3 linked regions of the Callithrix jacchus genome follow. Each later gene encodes a partner of the first gene's protein in a complex. Links are inferred from orthologs where the notes say so. Each region holds a gene or a part of one and is shown on either strand. Other genes may lie near its edges. The genes, in order: CDK2AP2, MTA2 and CHD4.

The links.
Region 2: CDK2AP2 (region 1) and MTA2 share a complex: the UniProt entries of both Homo sapiens proteins name them as parts of the nucleosome remodeling and deacetylase (NuRD) repressor complex. The link is inferred for Callithrix jacchus from reciprocal best matches to the Homo sapiens genes CDK2AP2 and MTA2.
Region 3: CDK2AP2 (region 1) and CHD4 share a complex: the UniProt entries of both Homo sapiens proteins name them as parts of the nucleosome remodeling and deacetylase (NuRD) repressor complex. The link is inferred for Callithrix jacchus from reciprocal best matches to the Homo sapiens genes CDK2AP2 and CHD4.

What each region holds. Positions count from the first base shown.
Region 1 is NC_133511.1:124,584,709-124,588,130, forward strand, and holds CDK2AP2 (cyclin-dependent kinase 2-associated protein 2), read right to left. Parts: upstream 2,321-3,422; 5' UTR 2,241-2,320; coding exon 2,159-2,240; exon of another isoform or gene 2,017-2,158; intron 1,848-2,016; coding exon 1,750-1,847; intron 1,656-1,749; coding exon 1,523-1,655; intron 1,160-1,522; coding exon 1,092-1,159; 3' UTR 635-1,091; downstream 1-634. UniProt on the Homo sapiens protein: Acts as a component of the histone deacetylase NuRD complex which participates in the remodeling of chromatin.
Region 2 is NC_133511.1:119,871,266-119,875,009, forward strand, and holds the start of MTA2 (metastasis-associated protein MTA2), read right to left. Parts: upstream 2,581-3,744; 5' UTR 2,203-2,580; coding exon 2,175-2,202; intron 1,426-2,174; coding exon 1,358-1,425; intron 1,006-1,357; coding exon 912-1,005; intron 1-911. Other genes in the region: EML3 (echinoderm microtubule-associated protein-like 3), read right to left, coding at 3,223-3,426, 3,524-3,654. UniProt on the Homo sapiens protein: May function as a transcriptional coregulator. Acts as a component of the histone deacetylase NuRD complex which participates in the remodeling of chromatin.
Region 3 is NC_133510.1:20,787,588-20,791,231, reverse strand, and holds part of CHD4 (chromodomain-helicase-DNA-binding protein 4), read left to right. Parts: coding exon 1-103; intron 104-354; coding exon 355-490; intron 491-628; coding exon 629-807; intron 808-1,036; coding exon 1,037-1,276; intron 1,277-2,436; coding exon 2,437-2,640; intron 2,641-2,760; coding exon 2,761-2,966; intron 2,967-3,644. UniProt on the Homo sapiens protein: ATP-dependent chromatin-remodeling factor that binds and distorts nucleosomal DNA. Acts as a component of the histone deacetylase NuRD complex which participates in the remodeling of chromatin.

The sequences.
Region 1 (3,422 bases):
TAGCCACTGCGTGGTGCCACAAAGCCTCCCCCACCTCTGCCTTCCGGGTCCACAAGTCTGGCGAGCCAGCCACCCGGAGTCTGGGCAAAGGGCGAGGCACCCTAAGGAACCCCAAGGCTGGGCTCCTGGGATCACGCCCAGCCTGCTACAGGTGCTGCGGCGGTGACGGCAGCACCCGCCAGCCTCTCTGCTTGACTCTGAGGCCAGTGCTGGAAGCAGCAGTGTGCATTCTCTCTGCGGTGTCAGAGACCTTCAGGGCTGATTCAGAGGCTGGGGTGTTGTCAGGGCATTAGGGAGTGTAAGGGAGTGGCTTACGTGAACTGGCATTTCCACGCTGCCAGGCATCACTGCCAATCCAGAGGAAGTGCCCTCCAGGCCCAGGCTGCCCACAGCGCAAAGGGCTGTGGAAGCAGCCAGGCCCTGCTCTGCCCCCTGGTGGCACCACAGGAAGGCCCAGGGCTCTCAGCACCAGGGCTGGGGCAGGAGAGGGCCTGGGTCCCACAGGAGGCCTGTGGCCCACAGAGGCAAGTCAAACCCCATTCAGTCACACCCTCCCCACCCCTAGTCTCCTCTTCCTTCTCTGCCTGGCCCACCCAGGCTTAACTGAAGAACCAGACCCAGAAAGGCTCAGAGCTGACAGCACAACTCCAAATCATCTTTTATTAATATAAAAAGGGCATATTTAGCAAAAGACACACAGAGAAAAGAGTCACTATGGCCCAGGACACAAGGCAAGCAGGTGCCAGGCCTGAGCCCCTGCTGGGAGAGAGGGAGGCTCGGGACGAAGTGGGAGAAGTGCTGGGAGGGGCTGAGCAGTGGGGGCCACAGAAAGTTCCGGTGGGCAACACTGTCGGCAGGTCATGGGCGCGACTCACAGGGACCTCGCTGCTAAACTCTTGTTGTGGGGGGGGTCGTTCTTAGTGCTGCCACCTGGAGTGAGAGCCACCCTTTGGTTCCTGGAGGGCACCCACCAAAGGACACAGGACAGGAAGCCCAGGATGGTTAGTGCAACTCGGGATGATGGCCAGGGAGAAGCGGGTGCTCTGCAGTGGCCGGGAAAGGTCCAGACGCTGAGGCCGAGAGGCTTCCTGTTACGTGCGGGCGTTCCGCTCTGTCTCTGCCAGGCACTCTCTGACTAGGGCCCGGGCATGGATGATACCTGGGGGTAGGGTGGGGTCTCAGCAACCCTCCATAGCCCCACCTCCGCCCTCCAGAGGACCACCACTGCCTCCCCACTCCCTTTCCTTTCGGCAAGAGAAATTCAAATCTAATAATGGCGAGATGAGATTAGAGGTTTGGCTAATCCTCAAGGTGGCCCTGTTGAAATACAAATTCCCAGGCTCTTCCCTGGAAACGGACTCAATTTCAATTCAAAATACCTCTCTGCATAGTAATACTGGCCCTAGTCTAGGCGTCGCTCGGGTGGCCTCCAGATGTCCTTACTTCCCTAATGAAGGATAGTGCAGTGTCGGCTTCCTGAGCAGGGGAGCAGGGCAGGGCAGGGCGGCCTGGCCTCACTTACCTCTCTTCAGGCGCTCCATGGCACTCTTGCTGCCAGCATAGGTGGGCCGGATCTCTTTGCCCATCTCCTCTATGACGGACAGCAGGTCCGTGTAGGTGCTCTGGGAGCCCTGGGCGCCGGGTGGCTTCATCGCCTATGTCAAAAGAGAACAGGGCAGTGAGCTCAGGCACCTGGCAGGGAAGGAAACTCCAGTCCCCATCCATAAGCAAGGCTTTGGCCCCACTCACCTGCACATAGCCCATGGAAGGCGGTCCAAAGTCGTTAAACAGCGGTCTGAAAGGGGCGGCGGCTCCTGGCACTGAGCCCGACGGCGACGGCACGCTTCCTGCAGCAACAGGCGCGAGTAAGAGGTCAGCGCTGGGCAGGGACGCGCCTCCCTGCTTTTCCAAGCCCAGGACCGCGTTCGCCCGATTCCCTCCAAAGGATGCTTCATTCCATGCTGATTAACTTCAGGGACAAATCCCTCCCCCTGAGCTCCACCTACAAGCCCTTACATGACCACGCCCATTTCACAGGCCAGCAAACTGAGGCTCAGCGAGGGGTAGGCGGCAGGCCCAGTATTGCAGAACTCAGGCCGTCTTCTCTTCGAGACCTCGACCGCCCGGCAGGCGAGCAGGGGTGGAGCTGGATCCTCACCTGTAGGGACCGGGGTGCCCGGCCCAGGGGTGCTGGAGCCAGGGGTGCTGCTGGGGGCGGGGGCGATGGGTTTGTAGGACATCCCCAACTCCTGGGCGCGGCGGACGCCAGCCAGCCGCTCCTCGGGGGTTGGCCGCCGGGCCGCTCAGCCGCGCTCTGATTGGCAAGCGGGCTGCACGCCTCTGGTAAATAGAGGTCTGGCCGGAAGGGCGAGCGGGCTCGAATGCTCCCTCACTCCCGATTGGCGCCTGAAGATGTCACTCGAGCCTCCTTATTGGACGAGACCTGCCCCAGCAGGTCGCAACCGCCACCGATTGGTCTCCGCCTTCCGGACCTCGCACCTGTCTGCTCCGGATTGGGCGGTGGCTGCCGCCCTCTGCAATTGGCGAGTTCGCCGCCCGGGCCGGCGCGCTCTCAATCCGATTAGTCCCCAGGCCTTAGAGGCGGGGCCTCGAGGCCCCGGACCCCGGGCTGGGCCGCCGGTTCGCGCCGAGGGGTCTTCCCGGACGCGGGCGCTACCCTCGCGCTTCACTCGCGCTGCTTCAGACGTCGGCTCTGCTCTGCCCAGTTTCGGCCCAGCAGGGGTTGCTGTCGCCGCTGCCGTCGCTTCTGTCGCCGCCGCTGTGCGTCCCTATCCGCTCCTGGGGCCGAAGGACGCAGAGCTTTGACGTCCCGAGCCCCGCGCCCCACCCCGTGCGCTTTTACGTCACCTTTCACCGGTTCAACACCCTCTCCCCGATCTGCGCATGCGTCCGCCCGAGGCCTGCGTTTGTTCCCATGGCAACAGGCCCTACTTCAGTGCCGCCACGCGCAGCTCTTCCTGTGGCTTGGCTGGTCGTCAGGTCCAAGGGCGACCTCAAAGACCCCTTTGCCCGCACCCCCAAGGCCCCGCGCCGCCGCCTCAGCTGGTGTCAATGGCCGTAGGGCAAACCTGCGAGATTACTGTGTGGCGGGCCGGTACCAAACTGATCAAGAGCACGGTCTGGAGCCAACCGCCTGGGTTTGAATCTCAGCACCACCCCCACTGGCGATTTCCCCCAGGCAAGTGTCTCGCCTCAGTATGCCTCAGTTTTCCCATCCGTAAAATGGGGAAAATGACGATCTCATTGGGTTGTTGTGTGGATTAAGTGAATGTCATAAAGTGCTTGTTGTTTCATTCCCCGCCTTCCTGTCCCACTCCAGGGCCCCCATACCTTTCCATTCCACCACTCAGACGCCTCCCCTCAAATCTCACTCCCCACAAACTTAAGACTTCAAACCCTCA
Region 2 (3,744 bases), about 4.7 Mb from region 1:
TCATTGGTGCATTGTTCCCAACCTCAGGGAGAAGGGGGGTTGTGCGGTAGGCTCCACCCCTGGCCTATGTGCTCCGGAAACCCTGTGCTAAGGCAAGGGGGACCACACCCCCAACACTCATTCTGATTGGACAAGGCCAAGGTCAGCCCCTGCCAGATGGGGCTGGAAACCCTAAAGGGCCAAGGAACTTGGTAAGCCGGGATCCTTCTTAACCCCTTCTCACCCAGAACAGTCTGAAAAAGGAAAATTTAGAAAGGTGGAACAAAAGGAAGGAGAAAGAAAATCAAAGCAGGAAAGGAAAAAGAAGCTGAGGAAAACATGTTTCTTTGTGTTGTTTTTTTTTTTTAAAAAAAAAGATGAGAACTTAAAGAGAATGAAGACAGGGCAAAATGAAAAGGGAAAGATGTAAAATGGAGTGGGGGCCGGGAAATGGGTGAGGTAAGAAATGAAAAGTACAAGAAAACTTTCCTACCATCTTCCAGCTTCCAGGTATTCCCACCACCTTGTGATTACAAAATGAGCCTACTTCCCTGTTATGCGGGCCTCTCAGAACAATCTCTTCCTCTTCACCTTGACCTTCAGTCACCACCTACTGTTCTAATGTACACCAAACTGTCCCCCTTTAGAAAAGCATTCTGCTTCTCTGAAGTTCATCCTCATCCCCTAAATAAACATTATCATCTCTCTCTTACACTCATACACAAACCATATTATAGCTTTCCTTATCACAATCTCTCCACCCTGCTTCCAACCCCAACGTGTAAAAACAGGCCTCCCTCCTCAGACCAGGTATTTCCCACCCCTAAATTCACACCTCTGCCTTGGGCATGCTACCAGGAGAAACTCCTGCAGGGACATGCCCAGGCCTCAGATCATGGGGAGGGGGAAAAGAAAGAGATGAAGGTACTCACTGGCATTACTATCAGCCAGGCTGTTGAGACTACTAGAAATGTCCCTGCGCCGGAAAAGACAGACAACCTTTGCCTCCACATTTCCATTTGCAGTCTAAGGAGAGAAAAAAAAAATGTAGCAGTGAAAAATTGATCATCTGGGTACAGAAATGCACAGAGACAAATAACAGTAAGTTTCAGAGGAACCTAAATAAAAAATCCCAAGAAAATAGGAGTAAAGACTTACATTCAAGGACAGACTTCCAAATCCCTTTCCTTTGCCCCCAAGAGACAGAATAGTAAGTTCCTGCTAAGCTCTCAATAGCCTTTCCTGAATACATCCAATGAATGAATGAATGAATATGAATAGATACTTAGTATAGAGTCCTCTCTTCCACCAGAAGTTAGAAACCTCAGAAGAAAGAGACCACTGGGGGAGGGAGGGAGAGGGATTCTGCTCCACTCACCTTGTTGAGCTCCTCAATCCGTCTAACCAGGTAAGGATTGCTAGAGGAGTTCTCAAAATAGACGTAATCTGTAAGGGAGGGGAGGGGGAAGAACCACGAAGATCAGAGGACGAGACGGGAGACACAGAGCACGAGAGTAGGAGAGAAAGTTGGCCTGAGTGGACCAAAAGAAGATAAAGATCCAGGTAGAGAGGGCGCTGAGATGTGAAAGTGGAAAGACTAAGAGAAAATAAGGATGTTCCCCATCCCCACCACGCCTAGTTCTAAAATCGGATCCTTCACAGAAAAGTGAGCCTTAAGGAACAGGCAAGAAGCAGGGGTTCCCCTGCGTCCCCACAACTCAGCTATGAGTTGCAGCCCAGTCGCGGCGAAGTCATTGTTCACGCTGGCGCTGGGCCCCCACCTTTTCGAACCGAGGCGCACAATAACGCCTGGGAAGAGGAAATCTCCGGGCGGCTCCCCCGCGGTGGCAAAGCCGTCGCCCCAGCCCCTCGCGTCGCCTCCCTACCAGGTCAGCTCCTTCTGAACCAGTTTCCAAAGCCCACTCTGTACCCGGGGGAGCCCCCGACGCAGCCCTGAGAGTGCCGTCGGGGCTGCCCGCAGCTTCTCTCCGGGAGTCTCGGCACCCTGCCGCGTCGCGGTCGCCGTTCCCGCACCCTCACTTCCCCGCTCCCAGTCTCCCGGTTCCGGTTCCGGTCCGCGCTCGGGTCCACGCTGCCCCAGACGCGGCGCCCCGCGCCACCAGGTGCGGAGTCCCTCCGGTCCCGACCCCAACATCTCCCGCCCCGGGCCCCGCACCCCTGCGCCCGGTACTCACCCCCCACCCGGTACATGTTGGCCGCCATGGCCGTTCCCGCCGCCGCCTCCGGCCGCACAAAGGGGTCCGGAAGGCTCGCGGAGGCAGGGCTCGGCTCGAGGCAAAGCCCCGAGCGTGGGGCTGTAGCTTCAAGGGAGTCTCAGTGGGGCCCGCGCAGCCGGCACCTCCACTGCCTCAGCCGTCGCGGTTCATCCCGGCCCGCGCTGTCGCCGCGGCAGATATCGCCCCACTCCCGGGACGCTGAGGCCGGCCCCGGTCCGCTCGGCTTCTTCCGGAACGAGCTCGGCTCCTGCCAGGCCAGAGCTAAGCTCCAGCTACCCCCGCCCCCGCCGAGTCCCACTAGTCGTTGGGATCTGCCGGCCGCAGGGAAGGCTTGCCCGGCCCGCCTCGGGGTTCGCCTCCTTCCGGAACACCTTCGGCCGATCCGGAGAACAAGGCCCACCGTTCGGCTTAGGTCGTAGAGCGAGACCCCGCAGATCGGCTACTTCCGGAAGAGGTTCGGCTCCTGTCGGCCAACAGCGGCCCGGCACTCGGCTATTTCCGTCGCAGCTCGGACCCACCCCATTTTTCCGAGGGCGGGAGAGAAGTCGGACTTAACTGTGTACTCGCTGGGTCCCTGCAGCTTCTCCTGCCGCCCCGAAAGACTCGCGCGCCTTCGCGCTTAACCAGGTTATTTGCAAGCGGCTTTGCCTGTTATTTGCATAAATGGTCTACGCTCCCTTACCCTTTCCGCACGCCTCTTTTCCTTCGTCCCCACCCCACAAGGCCCCGGAGGCCCCCAGCAGCGCCCCACAAAAGCACCGGGAGGCGACTTTGGTTCTCGTTTATTGCCCCTCAGCAGGCAGCGGGAGTCAAGGCCTAGGCTGGGGCTGCCCAGCTCAGCCAGCGGGTCTAAACAGTGTGTGCAGGGGCGCCGTTCGCGCCCTCCAGGGAAATGCGCGATCGGGAATGTCTGGAAGTCAGTCGAGGAGTCAGCCCCGGGTCTAAAGGAACTAGGGCGGGGCGGGGCGGGTCCACGCCTTCAGCCAGTTGGTCCGCCAGGCCGAGATCAAACGTCAAGGGAGGAGGCGGGGGACAGGGAGGGGGTTCGAGAGGGCGTGGCGGGCGCTGGCCCCGCGCCCCCTGCTCCCAGCATTCGCCACTGGAAGATGCTGGCATCCTTGCCGCCCAGCGAGACGAGGTGCGAGTCGTCGTACGTGAACCGGACGCTGGTCACGTGGCTGCCGTGGCCACCGTACATGCGGCTCGGCGCCTGGACAGGAGGGAAGGGAGTTGCGGTGGCGGCGGAGCCCTCGGGCCCACCCGTCCTGTCCCGCCCCACCCCGCCCCGGAGGCCCCTGCGGCCTCACCTTGGCACGAGCACACGGGTACTGGAAAAGATGCACTTTGCAGAAGTCGTCAGCCACCGCCACCACGCGCTCATTGTGGGAGCGGCACAGGGAGTTGATGTCGGTCCCATCGGAGCCGTCCGGCCACACGCCTAGCACAGCGGCCGGCCTCAGCCCGACCTCCTCCCCACTGCCACCCACGGCCCAGAGCTGCACTATTTCAGGCGCTCCGGCAGCCACGG
Region 3 (3,644 bases), on another chromosome or scaffold:
GGGCAGCCCTCGTGTACCTGATGCCAAGAAGCCTAAACCCAAGAAAGTAGCTCCCCTGAAAATCAAGTTGGGAGGTTTTGGTTCCAAGCGTAAGAGATCCTCGGTGAGAGCCCAGCCCGTCACTTTAGGGAGGGTGCCATGTCAATAGAAAGGCTGTGACCTTATGTCAGGACCTGTCCTTCATAGGCATGTAAGAATGTGGTGAGTTGCCCAGAGAACAAGAGACTAGGCTCCCTATATAACGGTGCTTGCTGGGATTCGAGTATCCACAGTGAGACGGTACTCCCCTCCTTGCCACTTTCTCCTTCCCCTTGGCTTGAGAACGTCTAACCTTATTCTTTTTCATTCTGCCAGAGTGAGGATGATGACTTAGATGTGGAATCAGACTTCGATGATGCCAGTATCAATAGCTATTCTGTTTCTGATGGTTCCACCAGCCGTAGTAGCCGCAGCCGAAAGAAACTACGAACTACAAAGAAGAAAAAGAAAGGTGTGTTTCTTTTCTGTATATTTGTGATGGGATGAGGTGGGAATGATTGGGGAAGAATCTCCCTAAGGAGATAGGGGTTGGGGGGTGGGGGGAGGTAGTTTTTTTCTAATAACTGGGCTTTCCCTCTTCCTTGCCCAGGCGAGGAGGAGGTGACTGCTGTGGATGGTTATGAGACAGACCACCAGGACTATTGCGAGGTGTGCCAGCAAGGCGGTGAGATCATCCTGTGTGATACCTGTCCCCGAGCTTACCACATGGTCTGCCTGGATCCTGACATGGAGAAGGCTCCCGAGGGCAAGTGGAGCTGCCCACACTGCGTGAGTGTCTGGCTGTTGTGGCCCCTTGGAGCCCATGAGAGGAAGGGTGGGACAGTAAAGCTCTTTGGGGCCTGTATGGAAATAGAAATGCTGCTGCTTCGGGTTGTGAGCTTTGGGAAGCATTCGAATGGATGGGAATGATGGAGCCACTGGCTTCAGACTTTGGTTGGTGAGTGCATGGGTAGGTGGGTGGGTGGTAATAACGTGAATCTGTGGTCTTTTACTGCAGGAGAAGGAAGGCATCCAGTGGGAGGCTAAAGAAGACAATTCAGAGGGTGAGGAGATCCTAGAAGAGGTTGGGGGAGACCTTGAAGAGGAGGATGACCACCATATGGAATTCTGTCGGGTCTGCAAGGATGGTGGGGAGCTGCTTTGCTGTGACACCTGTCCTTCATCCTACCACATCCACTGCCTGAATCCCCCACTTCCAGAGATCCCCAACGGTGAATGGCTGTGTCCCCGTTGTACGGTGAGTGACTGATCTCAGCCAGGGCAGAAGACGTGGAAAGAGTAGTCTTTTCTATGCAGGGTATTGTGAGGCTGAGGTGCAGGAGAGGAACTATGAGCTTTTTAGTCCTGAGACAGGTATTTTCCTTCATCCTGTAGTGTTGGGATACTTTTGTCCTGGGAAAATGTAGGACTAACTTCAAACAGAGGAGTAGATGTTTTGCCAGCTCCCTTAGAGGAGATGAAGCCATGTTTTTCTAGCTGAGAATGTTTGTCCTTGTTTGACACTCTGCCTCAGGGTCTTGGTAGCTTACAGTGTTTTTGATGTTTTTGTTAAAAAAATTTTTTTTTGGAGACAGGGTCTCTGTCATCCAGGTTAGACTGCAGTGGTGTGATCATAACCCACTGCAGCCTCCAACTCTTGGGCTCAAATGATCCTCCTATCTCAGCCTCTCGCTGAGTAGCTAGGAGTACAGGTGCCTGCCACCACATCCAGGTAATTAAAAAAAAAAAAAAATTCTTGGCTGGGCGTGGTGGCTCACACCTGGAATCCAAGCACTTTGGAGGCCAAGGTGGGCGGATCACCTGAGGTTGGGAGTTCAAGACCAGCCTGACCAACATGGTAAAAAAAAAAATTCTCTGTAGAGACAGGGTCTCACTATTTTGACCAGGCTGGTCTTGAACTCTTGGTTTCAAACCACTGTGCCCCCTTGTCCTCCTTAAGTGCTGGCATTACTGGTGTATACCACCATGCCAGCCAGTTTAGAATGTTGAATAGGGCCACTTACTGCTTTTAGATTGCTTAAGGGAGGAATTCTGTGCTCTAAGTCTGTTGATTTCCTGTGCCCACTGGTTCTGGATTATTGTTAAAGTCTAACTACTGGCTCTGTTAAGCAGATAGGAGTGACGGTGGCACACAAATCCTGGATGATGTCCAGAAACGGAGAGGGAATTCTATCCCAGGTTGAGCACGCTAATCCAAAAATGTGAAATCCGAAACACTTCTGGTCCCAATCATTTCAGATGAGGGGTCCTCAACCTGCATTCTCTCTCTGGAGGAGTTCTGGGATTAGATTTTATTTGAAATGAGATCTTAATCGTCCTTTGATGAAGTTGAGACTGGGCTGTCCCTTTTCCCCGCATGGTTATGATTTGGGATTAGGTTGTCTCTTTTTCTCTCAGTGTCCAGCTCTTAAGGGCAAAGTGCAGAAGATCCTTATCTGGAAGTGGGGTCAGCCACCGTCTCCCACACCAGTACCTCGGCCTCCAGATGCTGATCCCAGTACACCCTCCCCAAAGCCCTTGGAGGGGCGGCCAGAGCGGCAGTTCTTTGTGAAATGGCAAGGCATGTCTTACTGGCACTGCTCCTGGGTGTCTGAACTGCAGGTAAGTCTAGCACAGGTTGGAGATGCAGGGGCTACGATGAAGAGGGTAGTGAAAACAGCCTTGTGAATAGAAGGAATGAACACAGCTTCTTGGTGGCTGATTTTCTCTTTCCACTCGAAGCTGGAGCTGCACTGTCAGGTGATGTTCCGAAACTATCAGCGGAAGAATGATATGGATGAGCCACCTTCTGGGGACTTTGGTGGTGATGAAGAAAAGAGCCGAAAGCGGAAGAACAAGGATCCTAAATTTGCAGAGATGGAAGAACGCTTCTATCGCTATGGGATAAAACCTGAGTGGATGATGATCCACCGAATTCTTAACCACAGGTACCAGCTGGGCACATGGGAGATGGGCAGTTTCCGTGGGAGACCCTGCTAAAGGGATTGGGAAAGTGGATGTAACCAATAGCTTAGACTTGGAAGACACTTTTTTTTTTTTGAGACAGTGTCTTGCTCTGTGCCCAGGCTGCAGTGCAGTGGCGTGATCTTTGCTCACTGCAATCTCCACCTCCCAGGTTCAAGTGATTCTCCTGCCTCAGCCTCCTAAGTAGCTGGGACTACAGGCATGAGCCACCATGCCCAGCTGATTTTTGTATTTTTAGTAGAGACAGGGTTTCACTATGTTGGCTAGGCTGGTCTGGATCTCTTGACCTCAGTTGATCAGCCCGTTTCAGGCTCCCAAAGTGCTGGGATTTTGGGAGCTCCAAAATGATCACCTCACGTGATCAGCCCGTTTCAGGCTCCCAAAGTGCTGGGATTTTGGGAGCTCCAAAATGATCACCTCAGGTGATCAGCCTGTTTCAGGCTCCCAAAGTGCTGGGATTTTGGGATCTCCAAAATGATCTCCTCACGTGATCAGCCTGTTTCAGGCTCCCAAAGTGCTATGATTACAGGCATGAGCCACCACTCCTAGTTGTTTGTTTTTCTGAGATGGAGTCTTGCTCTGTTGCCCAGGCTGGAGTGCAGTGGTGTGACCTTGGCTTACTGCAGCCTACGCCTCTTGGA